Macaca mulatta: one gene and its partners. The protein of the gene in region 3 interacts with the protein of the main gene of each other region in a pairwise test. Links are inferred from orthologs where the notes say so. Each region holds a gene or a part of one and is shown on either strand. Other genes may lie near its edges.

Region 1 (4,219 bases), on a different chromosome or scaffold from region 3:
AAAGGGACAGGACTTTAAAAATGCCTTTGGAAGGTCCATTTTGGTCATATGTGTTACAAGTTTAAACACATCATTTTCACCTCACCAACCCCACTGTAGAACTCTATCCTACACAAATACTAGCATATGTTTGCTAGATGTATAAATCCATGAAGATAAATGTATAAAGAAAGCCTGCTGCACTGCTTATTAGCAACCAGTGAGAACATATGCTCATCATCATGAACAAGGTTAGGTCTGAAAATACGGAAATCAAAAGATGTCCAGGATCCATGGTGAGAAAGGCCTGCCACGCTCCTCTGCATCCTTTCCCTGTGCTCCAGCCCTTCCCTCTTTTCTCTCTGCCTGAAACATTCTTCCCCCAGATATCCCATCTCTGTAGCAGCCAGCTGGAGGCCTAAGGTGTTGGTCCACCCAAGTGTGCAGGGAGCAATTCTGAGGGCATGATCCAAATTCACCCGTTTCACTCCCAACACAGATTCACGCTGCAGTGAATTTCTACTTGTTTAAAAAAAAAAAAAAAAATCTTTTCTGGGCAGGGCATAGTGGTTCACGCCTGTAATCGCAGCACTTTGGGAGGCCGACGTGGGCAGATCACCTGAGGTCAAGTTCAAGACCAGCCTGGCCAACATGGTGAAACCCTGTCTCTACTAAAATACAAAAATTAGCCGCGCATGGTGGCACACGCCTGTAATCCCAGCTACTCAGGAAGCAGAGGCAGGAGAATCACTTAAATCCAGGAGGCATGTTGAGCCTCCTCACTCCCTCGTTGCAGTGAGCCGAGATCGGGCCATTGCACCTCAGCCTAGGCGACAAGAGTGAAACTTAGTCTCAAAAAAAAATTCTTTCTGAAATTCTGAACCTTCATGCACAATACATTGTTATCAATTAGTTCCCAGAAAGAAGTGCTTTGGTCTGGATCAATGTTTTACTTCTATGCTGTTAGCACCAAGTACAATCCAGAGAAAAAGAAGGGTGCTGGGCACACCCAGGACAGCAGAGGGCGCGGTGGAACAGCACAGAATGCTCAGGCAATAGACTAACTTCCAAGAAAATCCAGTGCACCCAAACTTAATCAAACAGGCCAAGGTCCGCCTCCATCTCCCAACAGGTGGAGTCAGATCATATTAAACAGATTCCCTCCAAGTCCTTTGCTAAGTCATTCCAGACAGCCTATTACCCATCTCTTCTGCTAGACAATGGGTTTCAATGTCCCCTGGAATCAACCACCCAACCCCTTCCACACCTTTCCCCCAAATGGCACCATTCGCCTGAGGGTTCCACTGGTCTACAAGTCAGGTCATCATTCCATAAATGTCTGTAGTCAGTCTCCTCTAGTAATGCCGCCCCTGTTCACAGCCCATTCTAGGCAGGTAACAACTTCCACACACAAAGCCAGAGTTCAAATAAAATGGGTGGGCACAGTGGCTCACGCCTGTAATCTTAGCACTTTGGGAGGCCGAGGCGGGCAGATTACCTGAGGTCAGGAGTTCAAGACCTGCCTGGCTAACATGGTGAAACCCCACCTCTACTAAAAATTTTTTAAAAATAAAAATAAAAATAAAAAATAAATTAGCTGGGTACAGTGGCGCATGCCTCTAATCCCAGCTACTCTGGAGGCTGAGGCCGCGGAATTGCTTGAGCCCGGGAGGCAGAGATTGTGGTGAGTGGAGATCACGCCACTGCACTCCAGCCTGGGCTACAGAGCAAGACTTCGTCTCAAAAAAAAAAAAACAAAAACAAAAACAAAACTTCTAAAGCCAGCCAGCCAGCTCATCTCAGATGGAACTAATATAAAAGACTAATTATAAACTAATGGGACCGTGCACTGCAAATAATTTGGCATTTCTGTTCTCCAAATGCTAAACCTGGTCCCCAGGCCACTCTCAACTCCTCTGCCCAGGCACCACCCACCACGCACCCGACTCCTTGCTGTCAAAAGGATCCCACAGATTCCCACCACCAGAGTGCCCGTGCTCCCTCTGGAAGGTGGTGAGGGATTAAACTAAGAGGAACTGAGACAGATGGAAGGGAAGGCAGGGACACTGGAGAAGAGTCTAAGGAAGAAGCGAGTGACTCTGACAATCACTATCAGCATGTCAGCCCCATGAGGACAGGGCTTTCTGTGTTTTGTTCACTATTCAATGCCCAGCGTCCAAAAATATTTCTGGAATGCAAACAGGTGGGAGGGGGAGATGCTGAGGAAGTAAAAGAAATAGGATATTGCCATTCAACAAACATTTCCTGATTACCTACTCTTTGTCAAGCCCTATGCTGGGTCTTGTGTGGGTGGAAATTAAACACAAAACACAGATCCCCCGGAGGCCCCAGACTGATGAAGGCAACAAACAAGATACGACCAGAGATGGAGTTTGAAAGATGAATAGGAGTTAGCCGAGCTGTCAATAGTAAGAAGTAAGGTTGGTCCAAGGCACAGCGCTTTCTGAAGGAACAGGAAGTGATAGGAAGGCGAGCGGCTATGAGAGACCGCGTTAAGAGGCGCGGGGCGCTTATGGACGCTGCCCAGTCCCGGCCCCCTCCAGCCCGGGGCCCGCCGCTCACCACACGCACCGGAAGCGCTCGGTTCTCCCGGAGGCAGACCGGCCAGCACACCACTGTCCAGTCACGTTGCGACGAGGCCCCGGGGCCGCCAGCCAATCAGTGGAGCCCTCTGCCCCGCCCCCGCGTGAACAACCAATGATGGCGCCGTCGGGCCGGAAGTTGTTCCGTCCGGATGGCGTTTCCACGGACGCCCCGGAGACAACCCGTGGCTGAGCCGGGAGTGCTGACAGGCCCGGGTGGGCCGGGTAAGCGAGGGGAGTGAGGCCGGGGCGGAGTGAGGGAACAAGGGAGGGAGTAATGGAGGGACGCCCGCGCGGCGCCCAGCGGCCTGGCCCTCCAGGCAGTATCCTGAGAGCCCGGCTTGCTGCTCGCCGCGTTCTGGCACCGTGAAGGGCGCGGATCCTGCCACCGACCCCTTGCTCCTTTCCTGTGAGCGCCGCCGACCCACCCCGTCCCCCTTTCCCACCGGCATCAACCCTTCATCATCTCCACCTCTTCTCTTTTCCCGAGAAGAGAGGCCCCCATTTTTATTTAGCGCTTGCCATGTGCCAGAGACTTTGCCTAGTGTTGCACTTAGTCCGCTCAATGGTAATGTTAGCAGGCTTCTCCATGCCCATTTCACAGATGAGGAAACCCAAGGGAAGCAGAAAAGTAATGTGACCCTTGCCCAAGGTTTCGAATAAGTCCAAGCTGGGATTGAAACCCAGGCGTCTGTGACCTCAGAACTCCCGATCTTTCCACTACACTGCGCCGCCTCGGTGAACAAATGCGGGGAATTTACGGTTTCTCTTTCTAACGCCCACGACTCCACAAAATCAGTCACACTGACACTGAGGGTGGGGAACGGGAAGAGGGTGGAGAGGTTATTTGGAGGCCAGCGGGGGGTGAGGGGTGGCTGATGCAATGCCCAGCTAATGGCTCGATTCTCAGGAGGGTTTCATTGGTCTCAACCTGGTCCCAGGCAGCCCACCTCTGATTGGACAGTCTCATCAAGAAGGTTGGTCAAGAGCTCAAGTGTTTCTGAGAATCAGGGCGATTTATAAGAAAAGCTTAGCTGAATGCAGGGTGGGGACTGGTAAACAAAAGGAAAAGCCTCTTTTTTCAGAAGGGAAACTGAAAGAAAGAGGGGAAGAGTATTAAAGACCATTTCTGGCTGGGCTGGGCATTCTCAGCTGCTCAACTGCCCAGCGTGACCAGTGGCCACCTCTGCAGAGTCTTCCACAACGTGGGTATGTATTGCCATCTTTGCCAGGCTTAGAGCTTGTTAGTGTTTTTACCAAAGTGCTGAAAACCTTGGTTTAGGGGGTCAGGACTTGTGTCTTTAGGATTAGGGTGTTATGCATTTTACTTCTTCCATTGACCGAAAGTTCAGGTAATTCACTGCTCCCATAGGGAATAGAGATCCTGGCTGAGCAGTCGCGTGCTTGGATTTGTAGCTTGCCTCCCAGCACTCTCATGCTGTCTGTCATAGTTTTCACTGATGCAGCCCCCTTCTGTGCTCAACATCAGAACGTATTGTCATTCTTGTTGTGACACCCCAAAGTGTCTAGTGCCTGGCTTCATATAAATTAATGGCTTTGCCTTTTAAGATAATGTTCATTTGTTATTTGGAGGGGAAAGCGATCTTTCTTTTAGTGTTTAAAAAAAAAAAAAAAGT
Region 2 (4,068 bases), on a different chromosome or scaffold from region 3:
ACAGGGTTTTGCCCTGTTGGCCAGGCTGGTCTCGAATTCCTCACCTCAGGTGATCCGCCCGCCTCGGCCTCCCAACGTGCTGGGATTACAGGCGTGAGCCACGGCGCCCAGCCAATTCTCTTCTTTTTCTTTAAGACAGGGTCTCACTCCTGTCACCCAGGCTGGAGCGCAGTGGTGTGATCTCGGCTCACTGCAGCCTCAACCTCCCTGGGCTCAGGTGATCCTCCCACCTCAGCCTCCAGAGTGGCTGGGACTACAGGCCCGCGCCACCACACCTGGCTAATTTTTTCTTTTTCTTTGTTTTCAGTAGAGACAGGGTTTCACCATGTTGCCCAGGCTGGGAAATTCTCTAGATGGACCTGCAAGGTTTTGGTTATGGGGAAACTGAGTCAGAGAGGGTCACGAGCTTATAAAGCAGTGATGTGGCAGAATCAGAATTTGAACCCAGCCTTTAACCTAGCGCAATCCTTTCCCCATCCTAGTCCACAGCACATTTGGGGTTCAAGTCTCCTCTCTCCCAGAGCTCACCCCAGAGGGGAAGGATGGAAGCCTTAGGAAGCTTCTAGAAGCACTGTGTCCTGTAATCCCCTCCTCGGGCCTTTGACAATGTCTTGCTGAATCTCCCCCACACCTCAAAGCACCCTCCCTCCCCCCAGTTATCTCAGCCCCTTTCCACAAGAAAAAGGAGATGACCAGCCCCATTGGACAGATGGGGAAACTGAGGCCTAGAAGCTGGGAATTTACAAGATCCCAGGAACTCTGCCAGAGGTCCCTGCGTCAAAGCTCGGGTGGGTGTGATTCCAGGGAAGTTGTCTGCTGAGGGGTGTCGGGGGATGCTGGGAAGGGGCAGGCAGGCTGTGGAACCAGGCGGTTCCTCCCTCTCGATCTGCCTCCTCGCGCCCCTCCCCGTCTGTAACACCTGAGGCTGTACCTGGGCAAGTGTGAGTCATTTTTTAGCGCTGACGTCTCTCTGGGAGAAGTGTTTCCCCGTCAATGGCTGGAGTTTTGTCCTCAAGGCACACTTTCGTGGCCCCATTGGACAGACAGGGACACTGAGTCCTCTGGAACCCACCATACTGAATTGTCAGGCAATCAAAGGACCCCTCGCCCACCTGGGCTGACCCCTGGAGGAACGGGGACGAGGAAACTGAGGTTCTGGGGGCACCTGACAGTTGGCCCAAGGCCACACAGAGGGAGGGGCACACGGCGGGGCCTCAGACCTACACCTGTCTGCAGAGCCGCTTCCTTTAGGGACCCCCTGGTACCCCACGATTAGAGCAGGATTCAAGTCCCCTCCAGCCCATAGTCCCCCCAGGGGTCTAAGCACTCACCCGCCACCTGTGTCCCAGGCTGCTCCAGCCTCTGGCCAGTTCCCAATTCACCCAGGTGTTTGTGTGGCTGGAGACAGCCCTTTGTTCACTGTTTCCATAGGTACAGCGTCCCTGAACGGCCCCTCCTCTGCCCCTCCCAGCCCTTGCCTATGCAGGTCCTGGGCCGGCCCATACAGGGAGCTTGTTATGTTTCAAAGTTGGCGCCCTCGGACCTGCCGTGGTGGCAGAGGGCATAGCCCATGCAAAGGCCCTGAGGCAGGACCTCGCCTGGGGTGCTGGAGGAACAGGAGGAGGCCAGTGCGACTGGGGCAGAGCCACAGCGAGGGTCAGGGGGGTTACAAGCAGGGCCTGTATTCCTGCACCTGATCCCCCAGCAGTCGTAATTCGGTGAGTTACGACCCACTCCTGTTTTACAGAGGAGGAAACAGGCTCAGCAGAATTGAAAAACTGGTTCAAGGTACCATGCGGGTGGCAGAGTTCAAATCTAGATTTGCCCAAGCTCCGCCACGACTGGGCTGACCCCGCTGGGACCTCCCGAGGCGTTCACCGCCCCCAGCTGAGCTGGGACTGGCTCAGGAAAGAACCTCTGGTAGCCTGTTTACACCTAGAGCTGCTCCTCCCCCAGCCCTTCCCCCCACCATAGAGAAGGTGCTGGAAAATGTGAGGATGCAGAGAAAACAGATTCTGTCCTTCCTGTGTCCCCACCTCCCTGGCCAAACATTGGAAGCATTGGCCTCTTTCTAGGCCTTAGTTTACCATCCCAGGAAATGGACCTAGTTCGACTTCACAGAAAAGGCCAGGAGGCGACAGACGTCCTTCAGATCACCTGCCAATTACCTTGGCAGCGACGGTCCCAGTTCACAGCTGGCAAAACTGAGGCCACGGCCCCACAGGCCACTTGGGAGTTCGTTAGGGGCCAGTCCGGGTGGGCCTGGGCGGGCCTAGGCCTGGCTCCCCGCCACCGATGCCTGGTTTAGCCAGAAGCTACAGTCAAAGCTACAGTCATGCCCACCTCCGCATGGCTGGCCCAGCTGCCCACCTCCTGGAATGCCCTCGGGGTTCTGGAATCTGTCCTGAGCACCTGTGGCCCTGCAGTTAAAGGGGGCAGAGTCCACTAGATTCCACGGAGGGGTGGGGGTGCTGGTCCCAAGCAGAGCCCCACGCCAAGGGGGGCAATTGAGACTCAACCTGTCTCTCCCTAACCTATACAGCAAGAGGGACAGAGAGACAGAGGGAAACTGAGGCAGGAATGCAGACGGACAGGCGGCGGGGTGCAGAAGCATTACCGGGCGGGAGAGACAGGGCGGCCAGGTGGTCCCCGGGATGAGCTGAAATAGGGGGCGCCCCGGCACTTCTCTCTCACCTGCTCTCGGAGCAGAGTCCGTGCGTCCAACCGTCGGGGGTCAGTCCAGCCGCCTCCGTGGGCTGGGGCCGTTGCCGCGGCAGTGGGAGCAGCGCCGGAGCGGGGCCGGGGCCGGGGCGGGGCGGCAGCGCGGCCCCGCCCTCCACTTGCCTCGCCCCTCGGCAGGACACGCCCTCCACTCGCCCCGCCCGCAGGAAGGGACCGGAGAGTTGCCAGGCATGGAGGGCGGGCCGAGTGCTTCGGATTAGCCAATGACAGGGGGGCAATGTACGAAGAGGCCAATGGGAGCAGGGCACTGCGACGGGAGGAGGTGGGGGAAGGGGCGGAGCCTGGGGCGGGGTCAGGCGGGTCTGGGGGATTCCTCCGGAATCGCGAAGGGGCCCGGATGCGGGGGCGAGGCCGTAGACGGGGCGCCGGCCACAGAAAAGGGAAAAGATAAGAGTATGAGATAGACGGAGAACCTGGGGAGGGAGGCACAGAGGCACCAACAGGAAGAGACCGGAGAGCCAAAAGGCAAAACAGAGCAACCACGTGGTTCTGCACGGGCCCCTTCCTCCTTCTGGGGCTCAGTTTACCCACCTGGGTAATAGGAATTTCGGCAGAAACATGTTTCTCAAAGTTCGGCCTCGGGGAACCTTTCGCGTCAGAAAGATCTGAGAGGCAATGTAAAAATGCATTGGGCGCGGTGGCTCACGCCTGTAATCCCAGCACTTCGGTAGGCCGAGGCGGGCAGATCACGAGGTCAGCAGATCGAGACCATCCCGGCTAACACGGTGAAAGCCCGTCTCTACTAAAAATACAATAAATTGGCCGGGCGCGGTGGCTCAAGCCTGTAATCCCAGCACTTTGGGAGGCCGAGACGGGCGGATCACTAGGTCAGGAGATCGAGACCATCCTGGTGAACACGGTGAAACCCCGTCTCTACTAAAAAATACAAAAAACTAGCCGGGCGAGGCGGCGGGCGCCTGTAGTCCCAGCTACTCGGGAGGCTGAGGCAGGAGAATGGCGTAAACCCGGGGGGCGGAGCTTGCAGTGAGCTGAGATCCGGCCACTGCACTCCAGCCCGGGCGACAGAGCCAGACTCCGTCTCAAAAAAAAATAAATAAATAAAATAAAAATAAATTAGCTGGGCGTGGTGGCGGCGCCTGTAGTCCCAGCTACTCAGGAGGCTGAGGCAGAAGAATGGCGTGAACCCGGGAGGCGGAGCTTACAGTGAGCCGAGATCGCGCCACTGCACTCCAGCCTGGGCGACAGAGCGAGACCGTCTCAAAAAAAAAAAAAAAAAAATGCAGGTTCCAACTAGGCGTGGTGCCTCACACCTGGAATCCCAGCACTTTGGGAGGCCAACGCAGGAGGATCCCTTCAGCCCAGGAG
Region 3 (4,107 bases):
ACCCTCCTCACCCCCAGCTCACCAGTCTTTGTCTTCAAGACAGTCTCTTTCCTTCCCTAGAGCATTTGCTGCACTTATACGTCTCAAGGCTCTTCTCACTCTTTCCATGCTAACCCCTTTATGTCCTTTAGATCGCAGCTTGTCTCTTGTTCAGAGGCCTTCCTTGGCCATTCGATCTAAAATAGATCTCTGGTATTTTCTATGTCATACACTTGTTTCCTAATATTTATCAAATTTTGCAGTTACTTTGTCAGTTTACTTTCTGGTGTTTTTCCAATATTATGCCCCATGAGACCAGCAACCTTGAATCTTGTTTGCCTTTGATTTCCCAGAGCTGTGCTGTTCAATACAGAAGCCAGCAGCCACATGTGGCTACTGAGCACTGTACTGTAAATGTGTTATTTTCTTATTGAGATGTGCAGTTAAGTGTAAAATATGCACTGGATTTTGAAGACTTGGTATGAGAAAAGAATGCATAAGATCTCGATTTTTTAATGTTGATTACATGTTGAAGGACTTGGATAAATTGGGTTAAATATATGACTAAAATTTTCACTTATTTTACTTTTTAATTGTGGCTAATAGAAGATTTCAACCTACATATGTAACTCACATATTTCTAGAATCTGAGACAGTGCCCTGGCCCATTTTATTGAATGAAATATCCAATGTCGAGAGAGAGATCGAATGAATGGGTGTATGAAGAGGTATAGTCTTAAGCTTCCATTAGGCAAATAGATACAGCACTGCCATAGAAGTTAGGAGATCTGGGTCCTGGCTCAGGATGTACTGGAAACGCCTTGGACAAGTCTTGCCCTACTCTGGGCATCAATTTGCCCATTAGGTAGTTGATCTTTGAGGTCCGGAAGCTTACGACAGTCAGTTGGCAGGGAAATGTACCAGGAAAGCTTGGTACAACCGCACTTGTGTTTTTCGCTCTAGCCTAAACACTTGAGCCTCGGCAAACGGGCAGAGGCAGCGGGAATCAGGGACTACACCCCCGAACCCAGTACCCGGGTCCCCGACTTCCCCGAGCCTACGTCACTGGGGCGCGACGGCGCTGTCCCCGGGACTGCAGCGACTGAGGTCCCTTCGGTGAAGGCGAGTTCCGGGCCAACAGAGAGGGTCGCACCGTTTCCGAGTCTTTCGGAGGCTCAGTTCTCAGCGCACCATTCCCCACAGCTCTCCTTTTTACTTCACCCCTACCCAACACTTTACCCCGGGGAGCATCCAAACCCGAGTCTCATCGCGGCTGCGCAGCGCACGTGCACAGCCTCGCAGGAGTCTCGGCGATTGGCTGTGACGCAGTTTCCGGCGTGAGCGGCGAAAGCCGGGAGGGCGAGCGAGAGAGCGACCAGGCAGCAGGCTGCCGGCGGGCGGGCGGACGGCACGGAGGGAGGGAGCAAGCGAGCAGTGAGTGAGCCAGCGAGGGCGGCCGGGTCCCGAGGTCAGCCGAGATTTCTCAGGTCCCTCCGGCCCCCTCCCTGGAGTCCACAGCGCCTCCGGTGTCCAGCGGATCGGACACGGCCCGGCCCGGCCATGGCCTCGTTGCTGAAGGTGGATCAGGAAGTGAAGCTCAAGGTAGCGGCACCGGTCCGGCCTTTTTGCCCCTCGCTTTGATCCCCCAGCAGTCTGACTGGCTTCCTACTCCCCATGTCGTCTTTGTCTCCCTGGGGATACCAGCTCTGAGCTTCCGCTCAACTCAGCCCAGCCCCCAACTCCCGGGGTCGGCTTCGCGGGAGAGGAAAATATAGGATGGCTTTCTGTACCGCGTCTGATGATGGAGAGTCCCGGGGACACCTCCGCGGACACGTGTTGGACTCAGGGCTTTAGGCCAGTGACAGCTGGAAATCCCCCAGCCCAACAACGTCCCTGGACACTGCCTCTGCCCTTGGTGGCTGGCCTGCCTGGTATCATAGGCCAGGTCTGGGTGGGGGTTGGCACGTTTGTGAGCTCACATCTTTCCTAACTACCTGTCTTTTGTCTGCTTATCAAATTCAGACAGCTTCAGACACAGGAGGGAGGGAGGGGAGAGGAGAGAGGAGACAGGCAGGTGCTGCCCTCAAAGCCCTGCTTTCTTCTCCTGAGATGGAAAAATGGATCCTCAAAAAAATAAAGTATTTGCAGTCTGGGGGCCTCTCAGCTTCTTATTACAGTTACAAGGTGAGGGAAAGACAGTTGGATTTGGGATTCTCTATCCTGCTCTTACCTCTGTCTCCAGGTACTGAATTGCTCTCTTTGTTAATTTTAGGTTGATTCTTTCAGGGAACGCATCACAAGTGAGGTGAGTGAAATAAATAGAAAAATGAGTGTTGGTTGAGAGTTTCCCAAAGAGGAGATATCTGTAGAGAGAGAGAGAGAGACCTTCCCACAGATATTAATTCAGCTATATTTTCCCTCCTCCTTAGGCAGAAGACTTGGTGGCAAATTTTTTCCCAAAGAAGTTGTTAGAACTTGATAGTTTTCTGAAGGTGAGAGACCCTTTTCTTTCCTCAAATTCCCCTATTTTTTTGGCCCTGGTATTACTGTCAACTGGAACTAATTGTGTGTTGATTCTTCTTTTTATTTTTTTAAACTGTAAAAGCGCTTTCATTTCTTGCTCTTCAATCAAATACTTCTTTGTTCAGCTTGAAAAGATTAATGTTTTGGGGTGGGTGTCTTTCAGGAACCAATTTTAAACATCCATGACCTAACTCAGATCCACTCTGACATGAATCTCCCAGTCCCTGACCCCATTCTTCTCACCAATAGCCATGATGGACTGGATGGTGTAAGTGTCCTATATTTATCTTTGTGTTCTTGAGCAGTAGGTCCTCTGTCCTCTGTTTCCTTGTCAGTTTAAGATGTACAGAGGCAACAGTGGGATTTGGATCTGGGAACTAGGACTGTTACAGACATGATGACTCTAGTATAGTTGTTTTATTTCTTATTTATTTATTTATTTTTGAGAAAGGGCGTCACTTTTTTTTGCCCAAGCTGGAGTGTAGTGGCGTGAGCACTGCTCACTGCAGCCTGGACCTCCCAAACTTAAGTGACCCTCCCTCCTCAGCCCGCCAAGTAGCTGATACTACAGGAGTGTGCCACCATGCCCAGCTGATTTTTGTATTTTTTGTAGAGACAGGGTTTCACCATGTTGCCGAGGCTGGTCTCAAACCACTGAGCTCAAGTAATCCACCCGCCTCAGCCTCCCAAAATGCTGGGATTACAGGCGTGAGTCACTGCACGAGGCCTCCGGTATATTCCTTTTAGACCCTGAGTTTCATTTACGATGTGAAGTGAATGTGCTAATGCTACTCTCAGTGTTAGAGTGAGTTTCAAATAAAAGAGAACTAGCTTTGGCCAGGCGCGGTGGCTCACACCTGTAATCCCAGCACTTTGGGAGACTCAGGTGGTTGGATCACGAGGTCAGGAGATGGAGACCATCCTTGCTAACATGGTGAAACCCCATCTCTACTAAAAATACAAAAAATTAGCTGGGCGTGGTTGTGGGCGCCTGTAGTCCCAGCTACTCGGGAGGCTGAGGCAGGAGAGTGGCATGAACCCAGGAGGCGGAGCTTATAGTGAGCCGAGATAATGACACTGCACTCCAGCCTGGGCAACAGAGCGAGACTCTGTCTCAAAAAAAAAAAAAAAAAAGGAGAGAACTAGCTTCATCAGGTTACCTGGTTTTTCCCATGGTTCTGAACAAGACTTAACTTTGTTTCTGTGTCTTGATAAGTGTTATGGGATATGAAGTTCTTGCTGTGTAACTGCAATCGCTGTTTTGCTGTACATCTTTAACAGCTAGTCCTTATCAGTCATGTGTCCGCATGCTACTATAACACTGATGATACTGAATTGTTGTCTGTAGTACCGCCTCATTGACAGAACTTGTACGTCTGGAAGGCAAGAACTACCTTTTTTTTTTTTTTTTTTTTTTTGAGACAGTCTCACTCTGTTTCCTAGGCTGGGGTGCAGTTGCGCGATCTCAGCTTCCTGCAACCTCCCCCTCCCGGTTTCAAGTGATTCTCCCACCTCAGCCTCCATGTAGCTGAGATTACAGATGCGCGCCACCAAGCCCAGCCAATTTTTAAATTTTTAGTGGAGACAGGGTTTCACCATGTTGTC

What was found.
Region 1: the proteins of PSME3 (region 3) and WDR25 interact in binary tests that used the Homo sapiens proteins (3 or more experiments, as listed by UniProt). The two-hybrid records come from large-scale screens. The link is inferred for Macaca mulatta from reciprocal best matches to the Homo sapiens genes PSME3 and WDR25.
Region 2: the proteins of PSME3 (region 3) and TNFAIP8L1 interact in binary tests that used the Homo sapiens proteins (3 or more experiments, as listed by UniProt). The two-hybrid records come from large-scale screens. The link is inferred for Macaca mulatta from reciprocal best matches to the Homo sapiens genes PSME3 and TNFAIP8L1.

Annotation. Positions count from the first base shown.
Region 1 is NC_133412.1:173,718,031-173,722,249, reverse strand, and holds the start of WDR25 (WD repeat-containing protein 25), read right to left. Parts: upstream 2,803-4,219; 5' UTR 2,572-2,802; exon of another isoform or gene 2,257-2,571; intron 522-2,256; exon of another isoform or gene 1-521.
Region 2 is NC_133424.1:5,490,206-5,494,273, reverse strand, and holds the start of TNFAIP8L1 (tumor necrosis factor alpha-induced protein 8-like protein 1), read right to left. Parts: upstream 2,803-4,068; 5' UTR 2,695-2,802; intron 1-2,694. UniProt on the Homo sapiens protein: Acts as a negative regulator of mTOR activity.
Region 3 is NC_133421.1:67,183,361-67,187,467, forward strand, and holds the start of PSME3 (proteasome activator complex subunit 3), read left to right. Parts: upstream 1-1,304; 5' UTR 1,305-1,539; coding exon 1,540-1,581; exon of another isoform or gene 1,582-2,088; coding exon of another isoform or gene 2,089-2,163; intron 2,164-2,251; coding exon 2,252-2,284; intron 2,285-2,374; exon of another isoform or gene 2,375-2,408; coding exon 2,409-2,471; intron 2,472-2,665; coding exon 2,666-2,770; intron 2,771-4,107. UniProt on the Homo sapiens protein: Subunit of the 11S REG-gamma (also called PA28-gamma) proteasome regulator, a doughnut-shaped homoheptamer which associates with the proteasome. 11S REG-gamma activates the trypsin-like catalytic subunit of the proteasome but inhibits the chymotrypsin-like and postglutamyl-preferring (PGPH) subunits.